2 linked regions of the Lonchura striata genome follow. The protein of the gene in region 1 interacts with the protein of each later gene in a biochemical or structural test. Links are inferred from orthologs where the notes say so. Each region holds a gene or a part of one and is shown in the gene's direction. Other genes may lie near its edges.

What was found.
Region 2: the proteins of MAPK9 (region 1) and MAPK8IP3 form a complex in vitro, tested with the Homo sapiens proteins (2 studies listed by BioGRID). The link is inferred for Lonchura striata from reciprocal best matches to the Homo sapiens genes MAPK9 and MAPK8IP3.

The regions. Positions count from the first base shown.
Region 1 is NC_134617.1:7,224,482-7,240,362, forward strand, and holds the start of MAPK9 (mitogen-activated protein kinase 9), read left to right. Parts: upstream 1-7,992; 5' UTR 7,993-8,117; intron 8,118-11,903; 5' UTR 11,904-11,956; coding exon 11,957-12,078; intron 12,079-15,881. Other genes in the region: GFPT2 (glutamine--fructose-6-phosphate aminotransferase [isomerizing] 2), read left to right, coding at 199-316, 928-1,091, 1,612-1,707, 1,806-1,903, 2,245-2,365, 2,535-2,692, 2,830-2,944, 3,565-3,692 and 3 more. UniProt on the Homo sapiens protein: Serine/threonine-protein kinase involved in various processes such as cell proliferation, differentiation, migration, transformation and programmed cell death.
Region 2 is NC_134618.1:1,658,485-1,675,419, reverse strand, and holds the start of MAPK8IP3 (C-Jun-amino-terminal kinase-interacting protein 3), read left to right. Parts: upstream 1-9,036; 5' UTR 9,037-9,169; coding exon 9,170-9,487; intron 9,488-16,935.

The DNA.
Region 1 (15,881 bases):
TTTTGTACCATAAAGCTACCAGCTGATGCCCCAAATAGCTTCTTGGCTGGGGAAATTTTTATACACTGAATGTGTAGTTCGTGTGAAAGTCCCATGCCCCAACCTATTTCTGTAACTGTGGTACCCTAAAGCTGTGTAGTCTGTAATCTTAACTGAACAGAATGGGTTTGCATTTAAAATGTCTCATTTCTTTAATAGGCAACATTGAGAACGTGAAGAACATCTGCAACTCCCAAATGAAAAGACTGGACAGCTCAACCTGCCTTCATGCTGTTGGGGATAAGGCAGTAGAATTCTTCTTTGCTTCAGATGCAAGGTAGTAAAAGTACTTCAATTTTGCTGAAAATACTGGTTTTTGGTTTTTTGGGGTTTTTTTTTTGTTTTTTTAATAAGTGAGATAGTTCTGGAAATTTAAGCTGCCTTGACCTTCACAAGTGCAATATCTGCCAGCTGCTGACCTCTATGTGAAATACATCCAGTGTAAAAAAGTAATTTGGGTACAAATGGGCACTCATCAGCTGAGCATTTGGGCAGACTATAGGTTAGTCGGGGTTGTGATATTTTCAATACAGATACTGGAGGAGGAAAATAGAGGTGTAGTTCCAAGCTGGGCAGGAACCTGGACATCAGGCACACATTTATCTTGGGAAAAAGAGTGGAACCTTAGCGGGATCCATCAAGGCCACTGGGAAGCATCTTCAGACCAGCAGGAATGGATGCAGTGGTTGCTGAGCCTCCTGCTGTGGGTTGCTGTGAGGGTGCAGGAGGAGCAGCAGATGGAGCCATTGCCTTTAGGATGGCTCTGGCTGCAGTTCTGCCCAAAAGGAAGAGAGGCAGGGCTGGAAGTGCTCGTAGCGTATTTAATTGCTTTGTTATTACCAACTCTGATGTGTCAGGTTTGTCTTGCTTCTGTTTTTTTCTCTGTAGTGCTATCATTGAGCACACCAACAGAGTGATTTTCTTAGAAGATGATGACATTGCAGCTGTAACTGATGGGAAGCTCTCGATTCACCGTCTGGAGCGTTCAGCTAGTGATGATCCTTCCCGGGCCATCCAGACCTTGCAGATGGAATTGCAGCAAATCATGAAGGGTGGGTTGAAACATCTGTAAATTAGTATCATCAAAATGGATAGTTACTGTTTGTGTAGTAGATGAAGCAGAAAACTGTTAATTTGTTGTGACAATTACCTTATATGCAAACCGTTTGTACTGGGAGCTGACAATTCCAAGTTTTGAGACCAAGAGAGAATGGGCAGCCTGGGACCCTATCCATTTTAGCCTTGGAAAAGTCATAGATACTTCTATTCATTGCAGTATCTAGTGAAAATGTAACTAATGTTAACATGTTGTAGTTGTTGGCAAAGTTTGACTATAAATTAAGAATTGAAGGGGAGCACAGATGTTTCCTTATGAAGGAATTTATTTACCTTGTCAGTACTGGGAAATGGAACCTACCAGATAAAGTGACCTATCCATCCTTCTTTTCTTCTTGCTTATTCTAAGCTTTTATTTAGGCTAACACAGTCAAGTTAGTCTTAAAAGGTCTCTTGGTAACTGGAATAGATGTAAAGTAACAAACCTAAGTATTGTCATGTCATGTTTTTATACAGGTAACTTCAGTGCCTTCATGCAAAAGGAAATCTTTGAACAACCGGAATCAGTTGTCAACACAATGAGAGGCAGGGTGAATTTTGAGAGCAGCACAGGTAAAGGAGAACAGCCTTTCAAACTTCACTAAGTTTGAAATTTGTAAATATGCTATCTAGAAAATCAAAACCACCGTTGTATATTTATTTGTTTGCAGTTCTGCTGGGGGGACTGAAGGATCATCTGAAAGAAATCAGAAGATGCCGAAGACTGATCATTATTGGCTGTGGGACCAGTTACCACGCTGCAGTGGCTGTATGTTCCCAGCCTTGGTCGAAATGCATTTATAACTTAATTGCTGGGCTTTCAGACAACAGCTTTTCATCTGCTTTTTCTTCTATCTCAGACTTTGTCTTTCATTGAGGGGTCTCACCCTTTTATTTAGCTTTACTTATTGCCACATTCTTTATTAATGCTCCAATGCCATTAATTACCATGCTAGAAATTAACTTTTTCCACCTTGGTTTTAAAGTTCTGGTAAGCTGTACTTACCAGCTTTTCTAATAAGAATTCATTTAGATTTTCTCTGACCTGTAGAATGTCCAAATGTTAGTGGATGGCAATATTAACAAATATTGTGTTCTGCTTGAATACAGACTCGACAAGTCCTGGAAGAATTAACTGAATTACCAGTGATGGTGGAACTTGCCAGTGACTTCCTGGATAGAAACACACCTGTATTCAGGGATGATGTGTGCTTTTTTATAAGCCAGTCAGGTGAGCTGCATTTGCTGTTGAGTGAGCACTCTAAGATTGCTCTCCATTGCACTTTGCATCATGTAAGCGTGGGTACAGTTATCTAGAACACACTTGTGTAGGCTTTGATGCTTTTCAGGAATCATTACTATCTCTGCCAACCTGAAGTGAAGGTGTGAATGTTTTCCAGGTGAAACTGCAGATACACTCATGGCCTTGAGGTATTGTAAAGAACGCCGTGCTCTGACAGTCGGCATCACAAACACAGTTGGAAGTTCAATATCCAGGGAGACTGACTGTGGTGTGCACATCAATGCAGGGCCTGAAATTGGTGTGGCAAGCACAAAGGTAACTGCTGTTCAGTGTTTGGCTTTCACCCTTCAGCCCTGTGGAATACAACTCAAATTTTAATTGCAGCACTTCAACCTGAGATCATATTCACTCTCTGCAGAATTAGCTGCTAAATGGTTTTGTTTTGTCTGCAGGCCTATACCAGCCAATTCGTGTCTCTTGTAATGTTCGGCCTAATGATGTCTGAGGACAGAATTTCCTTGCAGAAAAGGAGACAGGAAATCATAAGTGGACTAAAATCATTGCCAGGTATATTGATATTTTGGGTTTGAGGAGGCATAGGGGATGTTTGCAGTGTAAAATACTACTCAGGGATATTTCTTTTTCATTTAAGTTTCACTCTCCCCCTCATCCTGAAAGGCAGACAATATGAGAAAAATGGACTGTTCATTTCTCCACTGTTTGCCAATTTTAAAAGTGCCCTTCCAAGAAACTTGGCAGGAAGATTGGAAATTTCACGGGGTGGGTTTTCTAATTAAAATAAGGTAGTTTTGTATGAGAAATATTACTTGATCTCCTACATTCATGATTTGAAATTTTTAAAACCTCCCACTTTAAATCAGGACAGATAAAATGAAACTAATTCAAGGTGATTTTCAAATGGAAATTTAACAACTTCCTTTAGAAATTCAAATGTGATTTATGAACACTGTTTAAACCAATAGTTGTTTTAAATTTATTACTGTAAGTAAGGCTGGAGAAAATATCCTTAAACTGCAGTCAAAGTTGCTAAGTTAATGGTTGAATTACATTAAGTGTATTTGTCCTATTCGATAATTAGAACATTCTGTACATTCTGTTCATTCAGTACAAATGAACTATTTTTTCCAGTTAAAAAAATCAATTTTTGTTTTTCTGTACCTCAATAGAAATGATTAAAGAAGTCTTGTCCTTGGATGAGAAGATACATGATTTGGCTCTTGAACTGTACAAACAGAGATCATTGCTGGTTATGGGCCGTGGGTATAATTACGCCACATGTCTGGAAGGAGCTTTGGTAGGAACTTCTCAATATTCTTTGATATTATTTAAAATAATATTTTGTGGATTCTGCAAAATAGGTTATTTCTATTATTTCATTACAATTTAATTCTACTGCAATAAAACTATTTATAACTAGAAGTATTTAAACATACACATAAGGTGAACCTGGATGTGATACCACTTTCTTGTTTCTTTCACATAATAAACACGGTGTTTAATTAGTCTATTTAAAATCAGGAAACTAGCAATTTAAGTTGCTGACCCATTTGAAAACATCAGAAACAGTGTGCTGATGTTGAGAAGAGATGCTCATGCATGAAACTCATTAATTATGTTATGAACACTGGTAAAATGGACACATACCCATCACTCAGAGGAGTTTGGTGTGTTAAAGGTAGACTGCAGTAGCCAAGGTTGTGCTGGGTGTTTGGTTCCTAAAATTCCTTGTTGGTTACTCCATGTGCATGGGCGAGCTCTGCTGCTGGCCACAGCCTGCTACAAACCCCAGCAGCCACCCGTGTGCTTTCACTAATGCTTGATGCTGGGTACATGAATTTAAGTGGCAGCGGTACAGTCTGGGTGTTTTGATTTTTGTGGCTCTTGTTTCTCAGCTGATTTAGTAATAATTTGAGGCTTTTTTTTTTTTTCCTAGAAAATAAAAGAAATCACCTATATGCACTCAGAAGGTATCTTGGCTGGTGAGCTGAAACATGGGCCTTTGGCCCTAATAGATAAACAAATGCCTGTTATCATGGTGATCATGAAGGATCCTTGTTTCACCAAGTGCCAGAATGCTCTGCAACAGATCACTGCTCGGCAGGTAGTGTTCAACTAATTAACTTCTCCTGTGTCATAGGAAAAGAGATTGTGCCCACTGCACTGCTGCTGACTGTGCACCTGGAAAGGGATGTACTGCTGATTATTGTTAATTATTAAGTTATAAATAAGATGCTACATCTGCATTGAAGGTTTTTATTACAGGTTAATATCAGCAGTGAAAACTGCTTTCAGATGGCTTGTTTGTTTTGGGGTTTTTTTGTTTTGAAGCAAATGGAATAATGTTAAATCTCTACAGGGTGAAAACATTCAAATCTTACAATATAGGGAAAGTCAAGAGTCATTATGCAAGACTGGCATTGCCTTTGTTAGCTACTTGAATGTCTTCAAACACATACAGGCATGCTGTGAACAATATTTCAAAGCAATTCTAGGCTAGCTCTTCACTTAACAATGCAAAAATTTATTTTCAGGGTCGCCCAATCATTCTGTGTTCTAAAGAAGATACTGAAAGCTCAAAATTTGCCTACAAAACTATTGAGCTGCCTCATACAGTTGACTGCCTTCAAGGAGTGTTGAGTGTCATTCCTCTACAGTTACTTTCATTTCACCTGGCTGTTCTCAGAGGATATGATGTAAGTGTTTTCTATATTTAACACTTGTTTTAGTGCAGTTTTGAATTTCCTTCTACCAGTATAAATTGACAGACACAGTTATATGGCATATCTAAGATTTACTAGCTATGAAAACAGCTAGTGAATCTCATAGTGAGTGTGCTTATAGAGGTGACATTTCAGTGCCAATTCTTCCATTTTGTCTTTTTCAATTAGTATCCTTCTAAAAAATTGCAAAGCTCTTTAGCTGTTTGGTTAGTTAAGAGTGCAAATGGGACTTTTCCAGGGAACCTAATCTTGAAATGCGATATTGTACTTTAACTTAAAATAGGTCAGTGCTTTGTACACCTTGGTTTGTTGATGTGTCAGTTTGACAATGATGACTGCTTTGGAAAGGTATCCTATGCAAAACGAATATGTTTTTGTTAGGAGGGTTTTGGAAGCACAGATGAATTCAGCTGCAAGTCATTACCTGCAGATCAATAGCCTGCTGTGTGTGTTAATGTGTATAGAATCAAACAGAACTCATTAGGAAGTCAGAAAAATCACACTGAAGGAACTTTCAAATGCAGAATGCCAGTATTACTCTGTCATACTGAAAGACTGTCTCTTCATTCCAGGTGGACTTTCCAAGAAATTTGGCCAAATCTGTTACTGTAGAGTGACAGCCAAGAACAGCTGATGTCTTTGTCACCAGACCTCTGAGTTATACTTGTATAATGTGTTGTTCTGAATTGATAGGTAAATGTTTTTTCTAAAGAGAATGATAGTGCTAACTGGAAAGTGTCAGAAGGATTTATCTTGCAGCTTTAAAAGCTTTTGATGTGCCTTGTACCCAAGTGCTTTTGCTCCCACCAAATACTCCTCTAAGTCCTGAAATTACCAAAGAAGATAAAAGTTGTTTACACATGGTATACTGAATGAACTTTTTTACTGTGCAATATATATATATATATACAGCTCTCTCCAGAGTAACTGTGAACATTTTTTTAGCCCACACTACATAACTAGTTTCAAAGATATAGTATTTATAAGTACAATTTGTATAGCTTTTTTAAGTTATTTTTTTAGTACATTGCTTATCTGTAACATTGGTAATGCTCAGAATGTAAACACTGAGCGTGTTGATACTTCTGTACAGTTATTAGGGATTTTCCTCCTTCAGCCTCAAACTGGAAATTTGTTGTCCCCTCTTCTTTCCCAGCTTCCCTTCCCCCATTGAATCTGTGTTTCATATTTAAAAAGTCATTTGCAAAGTTCTTCTGTGGCTGTAAATTCCCAGCTATGTTTTCAATTTCTGCTTCTTTTAACTGTTCTGAAAAGTCAGAACGACATTTGTTTTGTATGCCACCCTAGCTTTTATTTGCATAACATGTATACTGCAACAGAATAAGGGAACTGGATGTCTCTCAAGTGATATTTTTGTTTGAAGAGGGTACAATGAAATGACAATGCAATTAAAAGATTATATAATTCTTCTTACTTTGTGGTTTGTTTCTTTGTGTGTGTATGTGTGTTTGGGTTTTTATTTATTTCATTTTTGTTTTTTTTTTAAACTTGATGACCTTTATCTCAAGTCTGAAGAAAGTCCTATTTTAGTAGCATATAGATGTGCAAAAACACACTGATAGTTGTGAACCAACTTGCAGTAGTGAAGAACCTATAAACCTGCAAAAAAAAAAAAAAGGCAGATACACACAATAAGTTCTCTGCTCATTTGTTTAGTTTTTATTTCTAAATGGCCAGAAGGCATAGTATTTAATTTTTCTTCATTTTATTAACTAAAATGTAAAGTTAGTTTAACAGTAAAGTTTATGATATTCCTCTGCAGGCTTGGCTCTAAATGGAAAAAGTGTTTGAATGTTTACTTAAGAGCTTGAAAGTGTTACACTAGCTTATTATAATAGGATATACTTTCCCTAGTACTTTTAATAACAATAATAAAACCAAAATCATAACAAAAAATATACTACTAATGTGACCTAAATGCCAAGAATATGTAACTCTGTATCTAACATGTTTTGGCATGAAAAGGCCTGTTTTACTCTTGATCTAGAAGTAATATTCTCTTCATATTAAAAAGTGGAACTATAAAGGCATATTGAGGTCATCTGGTCTATTTGTGACATTAAATTGATTTATTTAAAAAATTACAGGTACATTTTTCTAAAATCATCTGTGGGAACAGAAATCACAGAAATGAAAGCGCTCATCAGTCCTAGGAGAGGTGGCAAATTGAGTTTATTTTTAGGCAGCACCTGTTTTAAAAACAAGCACTCCTCGTGTCGGGGCGGGGGGTACGTAATGGAGAGAAGGCTTCTGATTTTTGCGTGGGGTTGAAAATAGCTCCGGGAGGGAATGAATCCCTTCCCTCCGGAGCCATCCCTCGGGAAAAGCTGAGGGGAGGCTGTGCTGCAGGGCTATGGCAGCCCCGGGGTCGGGCCTGCTGTGGTGCGCTGTGCCGGGGTGCCAGGTGCCACCGGGAATGTCACCGCTGCCACTGGGCCATGCCACCGCTGCCACCGGGAATGTCACCGCTGCCACCGGGAATGTCACCGCTGCCACCGGGCCATGCCACCGCTGCCACTCTGGGGTGCTTGTGCAGGGCAGGGTTCGCCTCAGCCACGGCTTCTGCCGGCCTGCCGGAGCAGTGAGGAGCCGGCAGCAGGATGGGCGCCACAGCACTGCTGTCAGGTGACATCACGACTATCGTGACAGGCTGACGTCAGGCGGTGACATAACTCCCGTGGCGCCATGACGTCATGCATGACATCATGGCAATCGAGAAACGGTGACATCACGCAGCGACACCCCGCCGGGGGCGGGGGCCGAACTGCCCCGTCACTGCGGTCCTTCAGCGCCCTGCCTTATATAGTGGTCAGTAAGATCCACCCCCAAGCGCGATTGGCTGAGCTTCTCCGGCGGGAGCTGCGATTGGCCGGGGCGGCTGTCAGTCAGGGGCGGCGCCGTGCGGAGCGCCGGGAGGCCATTGTGGCTGGGGCAGCGGGAGGCGGCGGCTGGGGCCGGTCCCGCCGCGTCCGACCCAGGTGAGGGGGCGGCCGCGAGGGGCGTGCTGGGGCGGCGGGGCCGGGGCGGGACGAGCCCTGCGCCGGACGGAGCGCTCGGCTCGTCCCGCGGCGCGGGCAGAGCCGGGGCGCCCCGCGGGCCGCTGCCCGGGCCCGGGCGCGCTGCAGGGACGCGGGGCAGCGGCAGGGCCGGGCCCTTCCTCCTGCGGCCGATCCCCGCCTTCCCCGAGCCGCAGGCCCGGCCCCGCGGGGCCGCCTCTGCCCGTCCTGCTGCCCCGTCCTCCGTGCCGTGCCCGGCTCGGCGGCCCCGGAGCCCCGTCCCGGAGCGCAGCAGCGCCGAGCGCCGCGGGTCCCGCGGCCGCGGCCAGCCCGGGCTCTCTGCAGCCGTAGCGATTTCTTAGCAGAAGTTTTAGGAAAGATGCGGGAAGAATCTTCCTGCTCGCTTCCTACATGAACGGCGAAATTGCTTGCAGCACATGCATGTTTAAACTTTTTCTCTCTTTACACCAGCTTGCCCTGGCAGAGTTCTGAGATCCTTTCAGTGCGTCTGTGTGTAATAGCTGAATGCTATTCACTGTAACAGGTAGTGGTGAAATCTTCGTTTGGCCAGTAGTAATGTGGGCTGCTTAAAGAAAAAGGTCTACTTTCCAAGAGTTTTCAGTTGCAAACTGTCTCTGAACTGCTGTAATCCTTGGGGGTTACCCAGCTAGTGCTTTGTTACACTTTCGTTCTAAAGAGTCAGTAGAGGAATGAGGTCTAGCTCACTGTGATTTTGTAGTTGGACTATTTCCTTTTGATATATACTGCTGTAAAAATTAAAAAAAAACCCTTGATGCTATTGGGTGATAAAACTTAAAAGGGCACACCTGAATTAGAAATGCTTTAGCAAAGGTCAATAAGAGAATGGGGGGAGATTTTTCCATATGTTTTCATAAATACACGTGTGTGTGTATATCTATTCATTGTGAATATTGTCAGCAGTAGAATTTTAGCTTGAGGCTTAAAAATCCAGGCAAGCTTCATGTTGTTCTTGTGTTTTGTTGTCAGTATAACATTTCTGTAACCAAAACAGCCCTGGGAATGTGTGCCCAGTCTGTTTCATAAACTTTTGACTTGAAGATATCCAGAGTACAAATCTGGTTAATAATAAATTGCCATTTTAATAAATACATTTTAGGGAAGTATCTGTTTAATGCAGGATGCATTCTGTAATGCAGTTGCTTCCAGCTTCTAAAGATTTCTCACTGCAATTGTGTATAAGCCTACTACTGGCAGGTTTGGTGTGTTGGTTATTTTTCTAGAAGGAGAATAACAGGTAAATACTAAGAAACTTATTTGACAGATATACTTCTTATTTGCACAGCAGGAAATCTATTTTTATTTGTGGGTCTTGCCCCCAGAATGGATTGTCTGAAGTGCTGTGAACAGCTACAATTGCATGGCAGCTAATTTTACAGTAGTGGGTACGTCTGAAGTAATATATGTCCTGATGCATTCCAGCCAACTTGAAGCCTGAGTGAAAGTCAAGACTCATGGAGAGCTGCTTTGCAAAGAGAATTGTAAATGTGTTCAAATACATAAAACTTGAGTGTTCTGATATCCCATTTCTCTCTTTGGGGCTTTTCTAAGGAGCTTATGCTCATCTCCAAGTGATTTTTGCAAGGTGGCTTTGTGCAGACAGTGATTCTTAAAGGGAAGAGTTTTTCAGGATCAGGATAATTTTGTTTTCCCATATTTCTTTGTCCCTGTTACAGAAATTTTTTTCATTAATTCCTGAAGAGGTACAGCATTGTTCTTGTGTAGCTAAGAAGTTGATATCCTGTAACTTGGTATCTGTACTTTTTTGGTTTTGTCTCTTAAGTCCTTGCAGAGGAGGATCTTGACCTTCCAGCTGTACTTTTCTTACAATATTGAAGATTCAGTGAAAATACCATAGGTGCCTAGGAACTATTAATCAAAACACTTGGTACCTCAGAGTGCATAGCTGTGGAGTAATGAAAAGGGTTGGAAGGAAGGGTGTGATGTACCAGGAAAGTCTGGGAGCTGCCCTTGAGGCATCCTGTGGTCTCATGTTAGTGCTAGCTGGCTGTGGAGCTGCATCTGACTGCCTCTAATATTATTGTGTAGGAGATACTGTTTTCTTCCTCCTTCTCCCTGTGACAGAGCAGAAAGTTGGTAGCCCACATTCTCCCTTTGCTGATCCTTTCTCCTCTGCTTTTTTCCTAAAGCTTCTAAGAGGAAATGTCAGGTAAACTGACTGTCTAAATTATTGCCGGAGATGACCCAGTTGAATGTCTGCCTCTTAAAATGCTGCAGAGATTTTGAGAAACTAGAAGGTAAAAGGGACTCTAGACATTTCTTGAGAATCTCTTAAAACTATTACAGTTTGGTTTAAACTCAGTCTTTATTAGGTCTTGGAGGTCTTCCTCGTATTTTACTGCAGATTCCTTGAGTTCATCAGCTCACTTAAAACATGGAAAAGATGCTGCTGCCTCCTACATGCACTGAGGAAGACAGAAATCCTAATTTTTGAAGGAACTAAGTGTTATTTGTGTGGCTTTGTGCCCTTCTAGGGTGGGTGTCTGGGTTGTCCTCGAGGCTTTTCTGTTTTGCATTGGCTCACAGATACTCGGTGGGGCCAGTGAAGAGAGCTCTTCCAGTAACCAAAGCAGACAGCACAGAGCACAGATGCTCCGGGGGAAGGGGCTGCTTGCATTTCCTGTTTTAAGGAACAAGTTTCAAGTGATTTGCCTGTGCAAATCACTCTGGGCTCTAATGGCACTATCTGTCATAGTGAATGCAAAATTATGAAGGGGAGAATTTGTTAGAGAGCTCTTCAGCAATTACTGAGGTAATTTACTTGTAAGGTTTGGAAGAGGGATGGACACCCAGGAAAACTGTTGGTCTGTGCTCTTGTTACTGTAGCACTTCAGAGCTAAAGAGGTTGAGTCCATTACTGTACTCTCTGATGTAATTACTTACCTCTTACTCATTCTTGACAGATTAATTTAACTTACACTATTGTGGCAGGAAAGTCTTTTCTACACTGTAGCACAAAAGTCTTATTCTGTAGTACTACAAGGACCACAAAGTCTTATTCTGTAGTACAACAAGGACTCTGACTGATAGTGCAGGGTGTTGTGGTGTGTATAAATTGGGAAGGAGAATGTGTTGCCATAGGTCTGGATCAGGGAAGGGTTGCCTGGCAGAGCCCTCCTTGAAATTTCTTACTGAACAAGGCTGGCAGGGATGTTGGAGAAATTGCAGCAGGCACAGGGATTTGGGGGGCAGTTTTGTTTGAAACTTGTTTTGCTATTTTAATAAAGTCTTTTATTAAAACCCCATTTCCCTCTGTCCATGGACTCCATGGATGTCGGTTGTCACTTTTATCTGTATTCTCAGTGTTTGAATAACATACTTTTTGATTTTTTTTCCTGTAATGCAGAAATTAGTATAGTCCTAGCACAGAGCAGTAGTTCTAAGTTATGGAGTTGCCTTCAAGGAGTAGAGAGTTGTATTTGGGTGGTTTTGTTTTTAGTGTTGTTTACTTAGATGCTTTTTGTTTGAGGGATTAGAGTAGGAACACACATTCCCTTTAAGCTGTGAAAGCTGTAATTGCTGTCTGTCTACAAGTATATTTCATTAGTAGTGGTAATGCACAAAACTGAAAATGTTTGTTTATGAATGAATGTTTAATGGTGTGCTGTTGAAAAATTCATATGTATTAAAATATGTATAATATTTCCCATCTTGTCTGCATGAAATTAGTGAGATATTGAACATTTGTTTTCTTTCTTTTTCTTTAAGATCTTGAAAACTTTGCCAGGTCCCTGAGAGAGAAAACTACATGACACTACACCATGACTGACAGTAAATGTGATAGTCAGTTTTACAGTGTTCAAGTTGCAGATTCAACATTCACTGTACTAAAACGTTACCAGCAATTGAAGCCCATAGGATCAGGGGCACAGGGCATTGTTTGGTAAGTAATAATTACTCTATTTAAATATTAAAAGCTATAAATATAAAGCAAAGTTTGCATGTATTTCTGATAGAGGTACCAGAACATAAAACACTGATAACAAATTCTCTTGTTACAGGGTTATGGACTAAATAAATTCTAAACCAATTGCTTCCTATAGTTCATGTGCAAACCTCTTTTTTTTTGTTCTGTTTTTAGGGAAAATTAATATTTGAATAACTGCATAAATTAGAATGGTAAACAAATTTCTTCCTTTCTCATTAATCACTTTTTTTCTCTTTCTAGTTCTCCCATTGCCCTTGTAGTTTTGACATTGCAGTGTAAGGTATTACAGTGATGAGAGATTCTGGGTTTTACTCGTTTCTTCATCATGGCCCCCTTTCTTCCCCCTCTTTTATTCCCAATCACTCCTGTCCATTTCTAGGAGCCATCAATGCAGTGCCTTGCCATTAACTGGCAGGATGAGGCAAATCAGTGTCATTGTCACTCCATGGATTAACCAGAAAGGGATGCTGTGTGAGGGGCTGGGCTGGCCTGCTCTCCCTTGGTGTGTCACCCCAGCTTTGTGTCCAGCCTCCACTGGCCCAGGACGTGGGAGTCTTTAGGCTGATCCTGAACCTTAGTCTCTTGTATGGCACCACACCTCTGGGCCAGCTAAAGGTAAACACTTTCAAATGTTTTTTAGACTGCAGCAATCCATTCTGCACAATTTAGTGCCAGCCCATATTTTGTTGGGCAAAACTTACTTGGTAACAGCAGAAATGTTTATTGATGTGGGTTTTCATTCCATAAACAGGGGAGCAAACAGATGTACTCAGGGACTCTGTGATACTGACTTCATCACAACACATGGTGGGCTGTTCATGCTCTGAATTCCAGGCTGCAGTTTGTCTTCATCTATAAAATCTGCAGAATAAGTGTGATGACTCATGTGCTGTGAACAGCTCCTTAACAACACCTGCCCATGTCTTCTTGGCCTTTTCATAATCATAATAAGTTATATAAGTAGGGAAAGAGTGCATTTCTGTGAGACCATGCATTTATTTTAAAAATTTTTATCTACCCCTCTTTCCCTGCTGATCGGTGACAAGCAGTCAAAATGAGAACACCATATTTCATTCTTTTTCAGTGGGTTGAGTGATGAGGGGGTCCTAGATCTTGGTCATATAGGATTTGGGAAAGATTTAGTATAGTACTGACATTCTCTAGGTGTTGGTGTTATCAGAGCTATGCTTGGTTGAGATGGCGTCCAGGAATTTGGGTGCTTCAAAGTGTTTCTCCTTTCAGTAGAAGCAGAGCATTTTTAAGCCAAATTACTTGGTCTGGATCTCTGCTTCAGAATTAAATGCAAGTAGTGATAAGGTCATCGTGTTGGGAGGAAGAAGAAATTAGTTGATTTATTGACTTCTTTTAAACTACTTGATTTATGGAACAGCAGAGTGAAACATTGCATGAATTTTCATCTTCATGTCAAATAGCTCAAATTGAACAAGGTGCAACAGCTTAGTTTCTCCTAAAATCTTTATGCAAGGGAAAGATACATTTTACTTCCCAGTTTTTTGTAGAAAAATCATTGTAAGATGAGTGCTATCCTGCTATGTTTGGCTGAAAAAAATGTCACAACATTAGGGTAACACACAGATGTGATAGCTCTTTTATCATCCCATGTTTAATATAAAAAATAGGAAAAGTTTTTCTGTGGTTTTCTGTCTAGATTTAATTTATTTTATGAGGAATTCTTAATACAACCTGTGTCACTTTAGCTAGGAGAGGTCTAAATTTATGCTTTTTTTCTCATTATATTAGTGGGATACTCCATTGGTATTGCTCCATGTAATTTTAACTGTGATACTAAAATGTTGCAAAATAAGTAGTTTTAAAAATATATATACTTAGGGAAAATGGTAAATGAGAGCTCTAGGAAAATGAAAAAGTAACTCAGTTTTTATGTTGAGGATATTTCTAGCTCACACAGAACACAGGCCAGGAGAGAAACTGGATATACCTTTTGTATTTTATGTACAAAGTACACATACTTAACGGACTGCACTTTGTTCCGAAGTATTAGTACATCTAAAGTCTGGTAATCCATTTTGGACTGAATCAAAATAACTTTTGTCTTTAACTTCCTGACATCTTTTTTTTCCCTTTTTGTCCTTGGTTTCCTAAATCTTCTAGTCAATCTCCAAAATAAGAGATTTAGGTGGAGTTCTTCATATTTGCTAAGACTGAGGCTTGTCATACATCTGATTTATCAGATCACAGAGGGACACTTCCCCTAAAATTATTCCTCTGTCTGCTGCTGCCCTGTGATTTACAGCTAATTCATGCAGACCCTGATGGTTACTGATTTGATACTAATTCACAGGTATAGCCATTAAGATATGGAAGTCATTAAACATTAAAGGCATTAACGTATAACATTTAATTTACATGTAACATCTTTTGGGTGAATACTGAAATATCAGTGCTTTCATGTTTGGGAGGAAAACAATTTCTCCAACTGTCTGGCCAGTTGCTTTTCTCCCACTCTGAGTTTCCTTTTGCACAGGCATAAAGGGTTTAAATCAGAGACTTACTGTAACATTCAGCAATGACTTGTGCACTACACAGAAGTAAGCTGAAATAAATGGTAGCAGGTCTTCAGTGTAAGTGGCATGGTTGTTCAAACTGGGAGGCATGTCCCAAGAAAACACATCTCCTGGGTGCGCCCTGCTTTGTGGTGGTATTGCTTTTTTCCAGGAGGGAAAACAGTGACTTCATGCTAGGAAACTTGATATAATTTGAGTATTGTACTCACAGAGAAGCTGTACTTTTTGTTAGAATACTGTAGTGTGATGGCCCTTTTAAGTCTGGTGTCACATATAACTTGATGAGATAGGAAAGGATCTCACAAAGAGCTTAAATGTGCTTGGAAAAAATGTGAATGAGAATTCTTTCCTACCCTATGAAAGTAACATTAAATGGAAATAGGGTAATGTGGGAATCCTTATTTAAAACTGTTTATAGACTGGAACTTCTGAGTATCACGTGCTAGGAATTCACATATATTTTGCCAAATAGTCTGTGTTACTAATGAAGACTATTCCCACTTTAGTCTTGTCTTGTTTATACAGAACTTTAGCTTTAGATTCTTTCAGCTATTAAAGTAAGTGTAACTTTGACCTCAAACTGCAGAGGGAAGGAAGAAACACAAGTGAAAAACAGAGTAAATTTAATGGTCATGGTCACTTTTAAACTCTTGTATTCCTCTCTTCAGTCTGAGTTTTCCTTATTTCTCAATTCAATGCATTTTTTTCCATCCAGCAGATAATGAATGCAATTTTCTGCTAGGCACTATATTTTTTTATCATTGCAAACTATCCACATACAGGAGAATATTGATCCCATGATCACATCATGGAGATGTGGTTGTGACTCTTCTTTAGCTAAAAGAAATTTCTGCTGTAAATACTAAATGATTGTCAGTCAGCAAAGTGTCCAAAAAATACTCCAAATATACAGATTAGGCTGCAATGCTTCTTGATTTTTAAACAAGCCTAAAATATTTTTAGATCTTGCAATTTTGGTTTTGAGTCTCAAGTCAGCAGTTTCAAGCTTGAAAACAAAAAGGAGAGCAGGAAGACTTTGATGAATGTCAGTGCTTCTGTTTGACTTACTTGTATTTATTAAAGATTGTGTAGTTTTTAAAGGATGTTTCTTTTCTGAATTAAAATCAGGTGTAGTACCAACAAGCTAGTGGGTATACTTTGTCTTAAATCTTGATTTCTTTCCTTCCTTACTCTGCCTCTCTTTTGCCCCCT
Region 2 (16,935 bases), on another chromosome or scaffold:
ATAAGCATCCAGGAAAGATTTATTGACTCCGTGGTATCAGGTAGTGTGAAACAACAGGATAGAACTACAGGAAGAAATAAAATATATGGACCTAATCTACAGAATGTCCTGCAGACAAGTCAGAGGTTAAAACTTTACGAGAGTTCCTGGAACATCAAAAACTCAAAGGAATGTTTAGTGATGTACAAATTAATTGTGAGAAACACCTGCTCACTTAAAAAATTTTAAAAGGTTTATTCAACCTTAGCAAAAATATAACAAAAATACTAAATAAGGGGGAAAAAGCACCGAAAGCCTCCTGTGGCTGCCTACAATGTGGCTGACTCGTCTTCAAGATGAATGCTCTGCCTTTTATACCTCTAGCCTCTCCTAGAACCTTGTCGATCAAGTCCTTCCTTGTCCTTTCTCACATTCGGATTGGAGGTCAGGTGCTACCATAGCAACAAGCCGACCTTCCCAAATGCCCAGATTACCAAAACCATCCAAATAACACATACTGGGGGGGAGCACATTGCAGTAACATAATGTCGTGGTTTGACACGGAAAGATAATTTTTCCCGGAAGGAAGAGGTCAATTTAGATATTGACCAATTGAAAGTAGACACGCCTCTGAGAACACAGAGGGGTTGAAAGCAGAATTCCCAGGGGAACTCGCTCTCTTTGGTTCCGGTCAGCGTGCAGTGCAGACCTTCCCCCCCCCAGCCACGAGCTGGGTGGGGGAGGGGAAGCCCCCATGGCCTGATGGAGGTAACTCCGAAGGGTGGAGGGACTGGAACCGGGCTGGCCCCTGCAGATGGAAGGGTGGAAGAAATCTGGGATGTCTCCATTTCCCCCCCCCAGAGTTCCTCTCCCGAGAGGGAGAGAGAAAGCCGCAAGGAAGGAGGAGCGGGGGGAGCTGCAAGGTGCCCAGTTGTGTGGGAGTTGCTGGATGTCCGGGCATCGAGCCATCCTGGGAGTTCGGACTTTTAACCCTTTCTTGAGAAATGGAAGCTTTGTGAATTTTCCTTTCCCCTCCTCGGTTTGAAAGAGAGGAAGAGGGACACCTTGGACCCTGGGATGGGATGTTGAAAGGAGGAATTCTGGATGGGAGGGGGACAAAGAGTGGCTTTTGGCTGGACTTTTCCATGTTAGCCACAACCTGAACCAAATCTTCTCCTTCAAGAGGGACTGTGTTTTGGGAGGATGCCAGTGAGTCGAGAGACCTGCTTCAGCTGAGAAAAAGACAAAAGTGGAGTGAACAGAGGAAAGGTTAGGGGGTTTGTGGTGGCGCCCCCTTGCCCTGGAAAGGAAAAGAGAAGAGAAGAGAAGAAGATCTCTGTTCTTGAGCCCTCGGCCCCAGGGGAAAATGGGGGGGGACTGTGGTCCCAAACAAGGAAAAACTGAACTGTTGTTTTCTCCCCTCTTGGCAGGGCATCCTTGAAAGGAAAAATCCTAAAGGCAGTCTGACCATCCATGCATTGGTGGTGAGAGCACTGTGCATGGAAAGGAGAAGGGTCACCATGGCAAACTTTTTCTCCGGGCGGTGCCATGTGTGACATGGAAACACAGGATGTGGAGCTGTGTTTCTTGGGGGGGGGGGTCTGTGGCACAGGAGAGACTCTGTTCCCTCGATGGACTGAGTATCGATTGCTTGGAGGGTGGAAACCTGATTGGGGTCCAGATTGTGTCTCACTGTGGTTTGTTGGAGTTGGGTGGTGGGGGGAGGAATGTTTTACGAGGTTTTCATTTGATCTTTGTGTGGTTTTTTTCCCCCCTTCTTTAGTTTTCTCTTTTCTTTAGTAGTAGTAGTTTAATAAAGTTTTTTTCCTGTTATTAAGCTTGGGCCTGCTTTGCTCTATTCTAGATTCCACTTCACAGCATTCAAGGTAGAGATCACATTTTCATGGGGGCACTGGCATTGTGCCAGTGTCAAACCATGACATTTGGTTCCCTGACCGGGAAATCGATAAGATAAGATCAGATAAGATAAGATAAGATGGTGATAAGGTGAATGCTGTGAAATGGGATCAGGAGGAATAAGAGCAAAGCATGTGTTGGGTTTTGAGATGAATTGGGGTGGAGATTTAGTGTAAATTGCTGTTTTATGTAGAATGTGTTGAATGTAATTTTGATAATGATTTTTTTTTTCTTTTGTAGTCTGTGTTCTCAGAGGCGAAGGGTGGAATGTCGTGGTTTGACACGGAAAGATAATTTTTCCCGGAAGGAAGAGGTCAATTTAGATATTGACCAATTGAAAGTAGACACGCCTCTGAGAACACAGAGGGGTTGAAAGCAGAATTCCCAGGGGAACTCGCTCTCTTTGGTTCCGGTCAGCGTGCAGTGCAGACCTTCCCCCCCCCAGCCACGAGCTGGGTGGGGGAGGGGAAGCCCCCATGGCCTGATGGAGGTAACTCCGAAGGGTGGAGGGACTGGAACCGGGCTGGCCCCTGCAGATGGAAGGGTGGAAGAAATCTGGGATGTCTCCATTTCCCCCCCCCAGAGTTCCTCTCCCGAGAGGGAGAGAGAAAGCCGCAAGGAAGGAGGAGCGGGGGGAGCTGCAAGGTGCCCAGTTGTGTGGGAGTTGCTGGATGTCCGGGCATCGAGCCATCCTGGGAGTTCGGACTTTTAACCCTTTCTTGAGAAATGGAAGCTTTGTGAATTTTCCTTTCCCCTCCTCGGTTTGAAAGAGAGGAAGAGGGACACCTTGGACCCTGGGATGGGATGTTGAAAGGAGGAATTCTGGATGGGAGGGGGACAAAGAGTGGCTTTTGGCTGGACTTTTCCATGTTAGCCACAACCTGAACCAAATCTTCTCCTTCAAGAGGGACTGTGTTTTGGGAGGATGCCAGTGAGTCAAGAGACCTGCTTCAGCTGAGAAAAAGACAAAAGTGGAGTGAACAGAGGAAAGGTTAGGGGGTTTGTGGTGGCGCCCCCTTGCCCTGGAAAGGAAAAGAGAAGAGAAGAGAAGAAGATCTCTGTTCTTGAGCCCTCGGCCCCAGGGGAAAATGGGGGGGGACTGTGGTCCCAAACAAGGAAAAACTGAACTGTTGTTTTCTCCCCTCTTGGCAGGGCATCCTTGAAAGGAAAAATCCTAAAGGCAGTCTGACCATCCATGCATTGGTGGTGAGAGCACTGTGCATGGAAAGGAGAAGGGTCACCATGGCAAACTTTTTCTCCGGGCGGTGCCATGTGTGACATGGAAACACAGGATGTGGAGCTGTGTTTCTTGGGGGGGGGTCTGTGGCACAGGAGAGACTCTGTTCCCTCGATGGACTGAGTATCGATTGCTTGGAGGGTGGAAACCTGATTGGGGTCCAGATTGTGTCTCACTGTGGTTTGTTGGAGTTGGGTGGTGGGGGGAGGAATGTTTTACGAGGTTTTCATTTGATCTTTGTGTGGTTTTTTTCCCCCCTTCTTTAGTTTTCTCTTTTCTTTAGTAGTAGTAGTTTAATAAAGTTTTTTTCCTGTTATTAAGCTTGGGCCTGCTTTGCTCTATTCTAGATTCCACTTCACAGCATTCAAGGTAGAGATCACATTTTCATGGGGGCACTGGCATTGTGCCAGTGTCAAACCATGACACATAACTATACAAAATTTCTTTTAACATACATATAATGTTCACGCCTTAATTGTGAGATTCACTCATCTATAACATAATGAATATGCATGTAACCCCAGCAAATTAACTGTATGTAGAGAACATGATTTTAAGATACTCGTGTGCTCTTTGGCTGTTCACCAAAAAAAAAAAAAAAAGCACTCCGATGCTGAATTCTTCTTTTATCCTTATTAAACTTTTTAAAGTCTAGAAAGTGAACTCTGTTTTTCACATAAAACCTGGTTTACGTAAATTCTTCCTCTACCACAACTGTCATATGTTACTCTGGTCCATCTTTTGTTGTAGAAACAACACCTTGAATTTCAGCTCAGTACTAATTAAAGGGTAGATTCTCGGTACTAAAAATAATATATTTTCATTAGTTGTGTGCCATCAAAGTAGAAACTTAATGTTAGGATCCCCTCTGCCCCCCAGGGAACTCTCTCCCCATCTGTTGCCTAAGAGATGATAATGACCAGCACTTAAGAGAGACAAAAGAAGTGACTGAGGAGGGGAGAAGGAGTGCAGCTGCCTGCTGATTTAGCCGGGGGCTTTTCTCTTGGAAGGACAAAGATAGCTGGAGACTTTGCTGGGGGGTCAGGGGGCTGGGCTTTGCCGCGGCCCCGCCCCAGACCCCTGTCCCCAGCCCCGCCTAGCTCTCCTGCGGGGCGAGTAGGGTGAGTGGAAGCACCCGCCACTGTACCAGCTGGGCTTTGGAGAGTGCTTTGCGGGTCCTGAGGGCGCTGCTGATTCCAACGGCGAGGAAATGAGGAGAGGCACTTGTTGGGGCAAAAATCCGATGTTTATTGAGGTCCTGTGGATCCAACAGCACCGGAGGGGGCCAGCCAACAAGAGCTACTGAGGAGTGCTGGCAACATGTTCCATAGGGAGAGGGAGGGGGGCCGATCAGCCAGTGGGGAACAGACAGGAGTGACTCTGTGGGGATGGACATGGGGGGATCCAGTGAGGGGGAGACAGGGGAGGGGTCCCAGGCCCTCATCCAATCACTCGGTGCCCTGGATGGAAGTTTCCAGAGGTAGGGGAAGGGGCACCGACTGACAGACAAGGCACTTGGGAAAGGGCAGGGGACTGACTCGGCACCTTCCAGGGAAACCGACACTTGGGGAAAGGCAGGAAAACTCAGGGAGAAACCAATACAGTATGGGGGTACACTGGAACAAACCATGACAGAATAAAGATGTAATAAAGCATATAAAAACACAACTCCACAGGGCTTGGCTCTTCTCTTGCTCTCAGGATCAGAGGGGAACAGTCGAGCTGCTGCCGCCGTGTGGAGTCCAACCTGTTACTGCTGTGAAATACAAAGTTGTGTTTCATGACAGGCACATAAAGGCAACCTGTGCAGTTGTGGTTACGAAATGTGTGGAAGAAGGCCATGAGACAATTATAAAGATGAGTTCTAATAAACAACCGAGGAAAGCATGAAAGAAGGCTTTTGAACCAGTTTTTTGTTTGCAAATAACAATTATAAGTCTTGTTATAGATAAAAATTGATCCAGCCAAATTAAAAATTAAAAAATAAAAATTGTATTATTAAGATCGAATTATCTCTCAGCCAGCCACAAGGAAACAGACAGTGCCGAGCCCGGGATCGGGACTGGGTGTGTCACAGAGCAGATAGCCTCAGCAGAGGTTTCCCCGATGCCCACACACCACCCTCCTGGTACAAGCAGGCAATCCGTCTTTTCTTCACATTCAAAGTCCCACATATTCATAAAGTCTCTTTCCTCTGTGTTGGGATGGAACAATTCGGTGTCCAGTGCTGATGAATCTTCTTGATGGAGTTACGGGAACACGGCATTCAGATGTATCAACCAGGAGGATTTCAGTGATCCCGATCTAGAATAGATGGTTGCTGGATGATCAGCACCTGGGCGTTCCTGTATCACCTTGAGAAACGACCCATCTGTGGGTGAACCCCATGTATTAGTTTGCAAATGAGGTTTTGTCAGAAACCGGTTTTCGAATATGTGGGGGCACCTCCCAGTGCCAGCATGTGTACTTCCAACAATATAAAATATTACACTTATCATATTATACTGGAACGAATTACACTGACTACATATAACAGTCTTGAGCTGTTTTGCGATAAGAACTTTTGAATTATAACTTTAGAATGTTGCTTAGTATTAAAGTTATTAAACTGTAGCTTTAGAATGTATAACTCTTAACCTGTTTTGTAATAAGAGCTTTTGAATTATAACTTTAGAATGTTGCTGAGTACTAAGGATTTTTAAGCTGTAGCTTTAGAATATAAATAATTTAAACAGAAAGGGAAGGGACCCTATCCCAAGCTCCTGGAGAAGGAAGATGGACATCAAGGTTGCTGATAGATGATTTCAAAATGGGAAGTTGGACATCACTACCATAGATTAATGATCCCCAAAAATAGAAGTTGGACCCCACCATCTGGACACACATACTGGGATATACACAATAGGTTATAGAAATTGGAAAAGAACCAAATATCACCATCATGTTGATGATGAGGTATAGAATTGTGATGTTAAAGGTAGAAACGGAAACTGTTGAAAGCTCATGTAGAAACTGGGAAAAGCTTATGAATCTGCATTACTATGATCAATAAATACCAGCAAGACCAACAACCAGTGTGCAGTGGGAGGGGAAAACCCCCACCACTGTACCCTGCGCTGTGTTTGCTCATACGTTACCATATTAATTAATAATTTGAATTGCTGCTTGATATATTGGCTGAGTCATGTGTCTCATTTCTAACACTGCTTTCTTCCTTACTGTGGGTGAGCATCTGCTCCTAAGAGCAGCCATTGAGCTGGAACCTTAGTAATGCCTGATCTGACTGGAAAGGATCATCACCATCTACTAGGGTGCCACCAGGGAAAACCCAGGACCCCTGGAATCCTGAGGGTGTGTCTCCTGGGTATGTGTGGCAACTGCTATGGAGAAGCCCAGCTGCTGCTGCCCAGCCCACTGCTTTCTGCCACTGCCTTGGGCTTTCGTGCTACACCCTTACCCAACACACTGTGTCCACCCAACTATTGCAGCTCCTGCTAAAGGCTGCAGTTTTCTGCTACATTTTTTTTGTCACCCTGGGTGACGAACTTCAGCCGTTCTAGCCAGCGCTCCGAGATTCCTGCTACAGCCCATTTCTCCATCTGGACGGGCACCAGGACTGGCTTCCCCTGTGGGTTTGTAAACAGAGCCCCTTTTCTCTCCGCCCTCCCGGCTGAATTTCCATCACCGTGTGGAGAAGCGGCTGACCTTGCGCCACGGCGCCCCCTGCAGCCGGGGGGAATCACTGCATGCGCACTGCCAGGCCAGGAGCCACCAGTGCCCCTGCCGGCTGTGAGCAGAACTGCACCAAAGGGGAGGGTGTCTGCGGCTGAGACAAGGCTGTGATTGGGTTTCTGGTATTTTGTTTGTTGTTGCTGCTGCCATTGTTGATGTTTGTTTGCCTTGTTATACATATATATCTATATTTATATCTATATATCTACTAGTAAAGACACGCTATTCCTTTTATCCTATCTTTTCCCAAAAGACCCATAATTTCAGAGTTATAATAATTTGGAGGGAAGGGAGTCACATTTTCTCTTCCAAGAGAAGTTCCCACATTCCTTGGCAGACACCTGTCTTTCAAACCAAGATACCTAAAAAATACTTATTCTTTCACAAAGCGAAGTTCCACCTGTCTAAGGGAAAAAAAATCCCCAATAGTTAATTTGAGGTCATATGGTTATTGCAAAAGAATCCTGATTTTCCTTTCATAGTCTCAGTGTTTCTATCAATTTCTCACTCCTTGTGCCTTTACTTTGCCTACTTGGAAAGGTAAGCTCTTCAGCAAAGTGCCCTTGCAGCCATAACACAATTGCATATGTATAGCACAGTCAGTTTTTAGTTTGCTTTTAGTGCTAAGCAAATAACAACTTGAACTCCTATGCTAGATGCAATAAACCCCCAAAAGGGTAGAATAAGCAAATATTTTGCTTGCCAACTTTGACCTGGAAGTGGTATTTTAATTTTTTCTCATGCATGGCAGCACCTAGCATTCCTGCCATTTCTTGACTGATCTCTAGACTTGAAGTTATTTATGAATTTATAAATACAGGAATGTATCTTTTAGTGATTGATTTAAGTTAAGGCAATCACTGCCTTTCAGCAGGAGCTTTAACACAGTCACTGGACCTGAACCAGGATTCTGTTGTAGAAAGGAGGATGCACTTCAACTGATATCCCCTCCCCTCAGGGATGCCTGCTAGACCTGTTGGGATTACAATCAGAAGAGTGGGTAATGCTATGAGCTCATCAGTCTCTGTGGTTCAACAGGCTTTAGTTTGTGTCATGTCCATTGTGTCAGTTTCTTATGTATGCGGGAAAAATGCAAGAAAACTTTATAAATGTTTTTACATGCTCTCTAGGTTACAGAAGATTAGAAGTTCAGTGTAATATGGAATTAGTGAATTAGTGAATCAGTGAATAAGTCTTACCTCTTTGCCTGCCTTGCTTCTCTCCCTGTTCACCTGTATATTTTTATTCAAAATATTTTCAATGCAATCTTGCATTTAATAAAGCACACTCTTGTGTTTGTTGTAACATAGAACAAAACAGTCATAAAACTTAAAATTCTTAATTATAAGTGAGATGTGATATTCCCACTGCAATTAGGCTTTCTGGGTAGGGTTAAAGTTCTTTCCCTTTTTGCAGTATGAAGCTTTTAGGGTCATTGCTAGTCACGACCTTGGAATTACACTCTTCAGGGCTCTAAGCCAAATGAAGGTGTGGGAAGCCTTTTCCAAATCAACCCCTTATTTCTTTCTCCTGCCAGGCTGTTCTCAGTTCTCAGAGAATAATGATTCCTGCTGTCTTCTTCCAACTCTACAGCCCAGCTGAGCCCAGGATGTGGCAGACTCTAACTTCTGTGACACCTGTTGAGGGTGCTGGAGGCTACCGCCCATAATTTGCTGGAGCTGCTGTCCGTAATTTGGTGTGTGTTGCTGTTGATTTGGGAAATCTGATTAAATTCGGTGGTTGTGCTGAATTTTCTTTGAAGACTTGAGATGGCCATATTTGGCCCTCTGGCTTTTTCTTCATCCCTGACTGAACAGATCCTTGTCTGCTTTCTCTGTAGTAACTACGGCTGCTTCATCTCGGAAATACGACTACCGCGGCTGTGACGGGTCTCTAACGCGGCTCCCGGAGCCAGCGCGTGTCCGGGATGCGGCGCGACCCGGGCCCGCGCTGGCCCCCGCTCGGTGTCTGCGCGTGACGCCGCAGCGCGGGGCCTCGTGCGCCCCCATCGCGCCTCGCGGGGCCCCGGTGCGCAGCGCTTTGTCTGCGCGGGGCTCGCGACGGGCCGCGAGCTGCGCCGCCCGCGGCTCCGGCGCAAGAAGCACTGCGGCGCCCCGCCTCCTCCCAGCACGGGCAGCTTGCGTCCCCGATCTAGCGGCTCTGGGCGGTGCCGCCGCGCTCCGCCCCGGCCGGTGCCCGCGGACCTTGACGCGGCGTGCGGGGCGGGGCAGCGCCCGGTGGCGGTGTCAGCAGGGCCCGAAGCGGAGGCGAGCGGAGCGGGGTTGAGGGCTGTCGGCCGGCAGGATGCTGGAGATCCAGCTAGACGATGGCGGCGTGGGGGGGTATCCGGGCGATGATTACTGCTCGGGGTCGGTGATGTCGGAGCGGGTCTCGGGCCTCGCCAACAGCATCTACCGCGAGTTCGAGCGACTGATCCACTGCTACGACGAGGAGGTGGTGAAGGAGCTGATGCCGCTGGTGGTGACGGTGCTGGAGAACCTAGACTCGGTGCTCACCGACAACCAGGAGCACGAGGTGGAGCTGGAGCTGCTGCGGGAGGACAACGAGCAGCTGCTCACGCAGTACGAGCGGGAGAAGGCGCTGCGCAAGCAGGCCGAGGAGGTGAGCGCCGCCGCCTCGCGACTGTTTTGGCCACGGGCGGGGGCCCCAGTGCAGGGCAGTGGGAGGGCCGAGGCGGTGGCGGGGGCGGCTCAGGGCTGCGGCCTCGGCCGCCTCTCGCAGACCTTCGACCGACTGCCCGCTCCCCCGCGGTGGACCTGGTTCAAAAGGAGGCGGGGGGGGCGGCGGGCGCCCCGGGGCATCGGTCGCCGGTTCCTTCTAGAAGCGGAGGGCGGGGGCGGGACCGGGCGAGGCGCATCCCCTCCCGCGGGACGCGGTGCTCCTGTCCCCGGGACGGCCCCGGCAGGCCCGGCCCAGCCCGGCTCCTCCGCCGCCCCGCGGGGCCGGGGCCACTGCGGCTGAGCTGCCCCTGACAGCGGGAGGGAAAAAAGCCGAACCACAAACCGCAATAGCTGCAATCCTGTGGAATTCTTGAAGAATTAGGATTTTAGTTTGAAATGCCAACAGCATCCGGAGGGGTCAGCATAATTTGTGGTGTAAAATATAGTTTTTAAAATGGGTAATTTGTGTAGTCATCCAGCATTCTCAATGTCGGCTGTAAGCTGTTTCGTTGCAGCAAGGAATTGCCTTTAGAGTATAATATCTTACTTTTGAAGCTTATTTGTATCAAAACTGTGCCTTGAGTTTTAATAAAATCGTTCCCAACTCGGTATCTGCCGTTTCCTGGAGCGTGGATGCGCTCTCGGGAGAGCGGGGGCAACGTTGCTCAGCTGGTGGCGTTGTTTGGAAGTGGCTCATGAGAAATCCAATCCCTCTGATGGAGAGGAAGAAGAATCCTCCGGTTACAAGGACTCGGATGTAGACAAGACAGAGGGGAGGTGATCTGCACGCTGTCATCTTGCTGCGTCTGCGCCTGTCCCTGGTGAAATAGAACATCCTTTCAGCCTTGAAGGATGGGGGCCATAGGGATTGCTGTTCAGCTTCTTGGAGTGACAGTCTGTGAGCTAGGATAGAGCTTTGTTGCTGAAAACAGTCCATCCTAACCACATCATCCCCACCACATCATCTCCTTTAAACTTCTTTAGAAGTGGGGTTTTTCTGTCTTTAAGACTAAGGAAGAGCAGAAGATTTAAGATTCACTTGATTTCCTAGGAGTCAAGTTCTGGTTTGATATGGGGTAATTAATAAAATAAAATAAGTGGTAATAATGAAATAGTTGTTGAACTGGAGAATGGTGTAAAGCAGATGTGAGATTTTCATAGACATGTTTGTGTTGCTTAATAATCATGGGCAAGAAAGTTGGTAACTCAGTGGGGAGGACACTTGTCGTCCATTACTAATACTGAAAGCAAGAGCCAGTCAGTTAAAAGTTTCAGTCCCAAGTTTTAATTATGTATTAATAGATTAGTAAATGATCATAAAATTCTTTTGAATGCTTGTAGGGGTCAAAAATTATTCTAAGTACATGATGCTTATTTGTGTTGTGTAGAGACAGCATTTTGCAGCTTCTGAGAAATAATTTTTAAAATTTACTCTTTATGGGAAAAGAATGGGACTGCCAATGGGGGTTGGAACAGTCCAGTTGGAATCATCTTGCGTCTTTTGACTGGGGTGCATTTCTGTTCTGGTCTTAATAGATACAGGATGTGTTTTCTGGAAGCAAATGTACTGATGGCAGTTAAATTCCCCGCAAGGAAACTTTGGAACCATGGCAGAATACCATTTACCAATGGTGTTTTTAGAGAGTGAGATTTAAAAAATGCCAGTGATGATGATGATGAAGAAGATACTCTGTCATTGTTACACATAGCTCAGTGTAAGTGGGAGAAGTGTCTGCAAGGAGGCTTGTTATCAAAAGGAATAGATAATGTGTTTCTTATGAGAATAAATGAGAATTCTGCCTCTACAAGCCCTTATTACAAGGTCGTACATGGAATACATGGCTGCTGTTTTCCTCCATATATAACAAAGTACATTATTTCTCTGTACCTGTTTATCCCATGCACTGTTTACTCTGCAGTAAATTGTGTGTTATGGGGGTGAAAGTCTATGTATGACAGGGAATTCTGCTGGCTACCAGGTTATTGTACACAATCAAAACCCAGAAAACTTTTCTTCTCAGAACTTGCATTGCTGCTCTGAAACACTGCCACAGTGACCAGGGACTGTCCATGCCACCTCTCCACCAGCATCAGTTTCCTAGGCTGTGACTCAAGTCTTGGGTGGGATCTTCACTTCTAACTGGGAAGATCCTCCCCTGGAAACAGGATTTGACCTTAGTTTTGATTCCTCTCTGTGTATGCGTGCCAATTACTACAATTAAATTGACACTGAGAGGCTGGAGATGAAAAATGGATCTGTTCTCTTGCAATATCCTGTCAAAGGACCCTGAGTTATAGTTACTTTATATTAATTTATTAAATTCAAAGTAACTGGAACCACAGGTGGGCATTGTTCTGGCATTAAAATGTGCATTGTATTGGCTGATTACCACTGTGAAGAGCCATCACACCTTGCTGTTCATCTTTATGCAGCAGTTGTGCACAAACAGACTGTACAGGTATGGTTTGTTAAATTAGGGCTAATACTACAATCATAGAAACACAGAATAGTTTGAGATGGAAGGGTCCTAAAGATCATGTAGTTCCCACACCCCTGCCACAGGCAGAGGAACAACCTCCTTTTCATTAAGGCCATAAAGGAATGTTTCCTTTTGAAAATTACTGTCTTAAGACAATTCTGTATGTTGTCTTTTAAATCAATCTTTGCCAAAAACAAATGAATGCATTACTTTCTAAATGCTTAGGTTGTAGGGATTCCATGTTTTTCACTTGTCCTAAAATAGGGCAACAGAAACATCTGGGCAAGTGGATTTAGAATCGAAGTTCCTTAGCATGAGGCAGTGCTGTCAGTTGCTGTCGTTACGGAGCTCAGTACAGATTATTGCAATTTTCCATGACCTCCCAGCTACTGAAGATCTGGGATTGCACCAGATTTTTTGTGATTTTGTTTTCTTCCATCTGTTTCATACGAACATAGAATACATATGTGTGAATGTAGGGCCATTATTGCTTTTGCGGTGTGGTGGTGTGTGGAATCACAGACTCCTCTTGTGTGTCTTTGATCTCCTGAGATTGAATCCCCCACCCTTGCTCAGTCAGGGGCAGCTGGAGCAGGTTGTCCAGGACCTGCTTAGACTCTGTGCCTTTGTTTAGAGAGTTCCTACAATTGACAGTGGCTCACTGCATTGGCCTACTATCAGCACAATGCCCCATGTGAAAGGTTGGCAGTGTTAGGATGCTGAGCACTCCTTGCCTTACAAAACCTGTAGCAATAAAACTGAATGGGATTGTAAGCTAAAAATCAATTTAGGCAAACATCTGGGGAGAGCAATTTGAAAGGATACTCCAAGTTTGGGATGGAAGATTTCTTGCATCATTTCACTACTGTTTCAGCGAAACAAATTTACAGAAGACATTTGAAGACTGTTGAAGAGGACCAGAAGAAAGAATCTCAATCACTTGCTCCTTTGTTGTGTGACAAAAAAAGAGGGGGAGATGTGGGAATCCAGGGCATCCCTCTGGCTGCCCTGGAAGGCCTGGGACCCTGGCAGGGGGTCAGGAACCCCCCTGGACAGTGCCCCGAGAGACACTGTCTGTGATCTCTGTCCATGGAAAAGAGTTTTCAATCTTACAGGATGAATTACAAGCTCTGAGTGTTTTATATAAGTAATAATTAGTGTGACGGGGTGCAAAAGTAGAATTTTAGGATTCTAGATAAGGGGTTAAAAGGAGGCAAGATGGAGGAAATTTGGCGTGCCTTGTCCTTTTTCTTCTTCTTCATGTCTTGCCATGTTTCACTGTAGTGCTGGCATTTTTCTATTGGTTTAGACTGGGGACACACTCTTCAACGTAAGTGATAGATATTGGCACGTTATTGTAAATATAGCACACATAGTTTCTGGTACATAATGTTTGTAACATCCCACTGAGGGACAGAGCCCTGCATGCTGTCCTGCTGCAGGGCAGACTGAATATGTTATAGATAAGCAAGAATAAACTACCTTGAAAACCAGCACAGATGAATTATGACTTCTCTGGCAGCGGGGCTGAAAGATAGACACTTTCTACAATCTCGGAATAATTTAAATACCACAGAGTCTGTCACCATCCCATCACGTATCTTCTAATGCAGGACTAGGGTTGATGTTAATACAAATAACTGTAAGGAGATGATAATTCCTTCCTTCCCCTGAAGGTGGACTGGGAGCCATTTGTTGGGGGATAACTCAGTGATGCCTTTTCTCTGTCCAAAGTGAGGGTGGTGATCTACCTCTGCCAGCAGCAGGAGTGTTGCCTGCCATTCTGGATCAGGTGCTGCCTCCCTCGCTCCTGCCCACAGGATACCAGGGCAGGGACTGCTCTCTTCCCTTTCCTGGTATCTTGACAGTGTTGTGGCAGTCTGCTCTTTTCTCTTTGTCTCATCCTTTGTGCATGGCTCTACAGGTGAAGGGCAATGCAGGCTTGGTTGGCTGTGGAGTGGGGTGACAGCACGGGTGGAACTCAGGCTGGCAGCCAGGAGGCATCCTGAAGGATTTAGAATGTCCTGCACTGTTCTGGGGACCTTAGCTTATCAGCCAGTGCTGACTTTGAGCTGTGGAGGTGTGTCCTGCTGCTGGTTTCTCCCCAGCTGGTCTGATGAAGGTTACCCAATGCACACTGAGAGCTGAAGTACAAATGCTTCGGGGTTGTGCTCCGAGAGATGCAGAAGGAGCTTGTCCCTCCCTTGCCTTTTTTTATCTTTTCCCCATCAGAAGATTGTGTGCAGAATAAAATTTTTTGGTGAAAACTATACATGTGTCTAGCTTACTAGAGGTGATGTTATAGGACATTGGCTGTTGGAAAGCCACTTGCTATAAACATATGATCAGTTATTACAATTTTTCTTAACAAATTGTATGAATTCCTCACTGATGGGATGAAATGCATTTAGAGACTCTTCTGTTTACAAGTTCTGTTAATTTAAAGGAATGTAACAGACAGTTTGTGATTCTGTTTTGCAATAGAGACTGGCCATATGATGCATATTGCTAAATCACTTCTCTGTGAGGAATCAGGCTTTCCACATATAATGTCAATTAGTCCTTGCTATTTGGTAACCTTTACTCTCACTAATCTTGGAGGGGAAAAAATCTGTGTCCAAACACAGATCCTTCATACAAATCCTCACTCAAGCTCATGGCAATTACTAATATTCATAAATACCAGCATGTTATTAAAAATTGCCTTGAAAGTAGAACAGTAAAAAGCACTGTGAGTTGCAATTTATTTAAAAAGCAGTTCAGGGTAATCTGAATATCAGTTGATAATGATGATTAGAGGTGGTGGCTAGGTTTCTCCTCAACAGGGTTAACTGCATAAGTCAAATTGTGATCCATGGGTAAGCTTTGATGAGAAACTTTTTTCTCTGGTGCAGTGGAGCAGCTACTGCCTGGTCCCTTTCTGTTCACAGCTCTGCAGGTTGATTTGTCAATGATACTTTCGGGATTTCCTCAGGTATATGTAGGCAGAAGTTACTACTGGAGTTTCAGGAAGCAGTTGTAAGAGAAAAGCCAAGAAGACTGTGAGGATTTGGCTTTACTACCATTGCAGATGGATGGACCTTCAAGCTCATCTTGTTCCAGCCCCTGCCATGGGCAGGGACACCTCCCCCTGGACCAGGTTGATCCAAGCCCCATCCAAACCCTGGCTTTGGACACTTTCAGGGATGGGGCAGCCACAGCTTCTCTGGGCAACCTGTGCCAGGGCTTCCTCACCCTCACAGGGAATTATTTCTTTGTTATATCTAACCTCCTTCAGTTTAAAGCCATTCCCCCTTATCCCAGCAAGACTGGAGAGGGATTGCAATAACTGAAGTTTCAAGAAAAACCCCCAGTCAGTCTTCATTTATCTGAAAATGATACAATCTTCCATCTAGCGCAGGCACCTTGGCCGCTTTCATTCTTTTTCTTGTCCACTGGGAAGGATGCAGATGACCCACATCCCCATCATCATTGGTTGTCTTGGTGCCTCTGATGAGCTGTAGCAGGCTGGATCCTTTCATGCCATTGAGGAGGAAGCAAGGGCTGTCCCAAGTGAGAGAAGCTCTATCTTGCCTTGCAGGACAGGATTCAGTGGGAAGCACTGAACCTTTTGCTTCTGAGTTGGATTGTGACATGGCCTCCTTTGTTCATGAACACCTGCTGGTTTCTACCTTCTGTCCCAGTGCCCTGCTTGGAAGGGACTTGCTCAAAGCAGGACATGATGTTCAACTGAGTCTGATAAAAACAGTTTCAGGCTCTTATTTATCTTTCTTCTTCTGCCTGGGTCTTGGCCATCCCACTTGGTGGTACGAATGTGAGTTGCTATTCCATTCCAGAGCAGACCTGCTTGTCCCCCTCAAGACAGGAAGCACCAACAGAGGGCGCAAGGCTTTGTGGAAAGGTATTCCCATTGAAACTACGTGCCAAGTTTCTCCCAAAACATAATTGTACATAATAATTGTAAATACTAATTGAAAACAGGAAAATTTACTGATCTGTTAATGACTGGGTATTTTCAAGGCATATGGCCCAAAAGCTTGTTAGCGTTTTGCCCTCTTTGGGTTTGGGATTCTGTGCTTGTAAAAGGACTGAAAGACCTCACTGGCGATACATTCACAAACAGCATGTATGGGAGAAGTGTACAGTGTGACGTACCATACATTTTGAAGAACTTGAGCATGGAGAAGTACCTTCCCTTCCCCACAATAAAGAGAGGTGTCATTTCAGTGTATTTTACTATTTTCTTTCACCAGTCAATGGTAGCTTTGGAAGAGAGCTCAAATACATGTTTTGGTTGATCTAAATCAGTTATCTCTTTATTAGCAAAACTGGAGAATTGTACTTTGCAGGGGAGAACAATGTCTTGGCAAGGACATAATAAAACCATTCAAGAACATCAAGTCCAGTCCAGCCTTTGAACTCATTGCCACCTTGTCAACCAGACCAAAGCACTGAATGCCACGTCCAGTCATTTCTTGGACACCTCCAGGGACAGTGACTCCACCATCTGCATGGGCTGCCCTGCTGCTCCCGGAATGGAATTGGGTTGTGTGTCAGGTGATGTCAGCTTCCTTCCTTCTTTCCTAGGTGATTATGGTTGCAGTGGTAGGTTGTTCCCCCATTCTGGGGCCCTGCCCTCCCACCATCGTGCTCTCCTTGAGCTCAAGTACCCATGGCTGCTTTGCTTCTCACTTGCACGTGGTCTTTGATCTTCTGTCCCTTTGTTGCAGACTTTTAAACTTGTAAACTAAAGATGTAACACCTCTGGGGATAGTTTTGTGGTTTAACACAGGTTTTCATCACAGCCACTTTTGTATCAGTGCTAAATGCAACTGCAGCATCTTTGTAAGTTCCACTTATTTGAACCACTGCCCACGCTTCAGTAGCCCCACCTTTGCCTCGCTGGTTG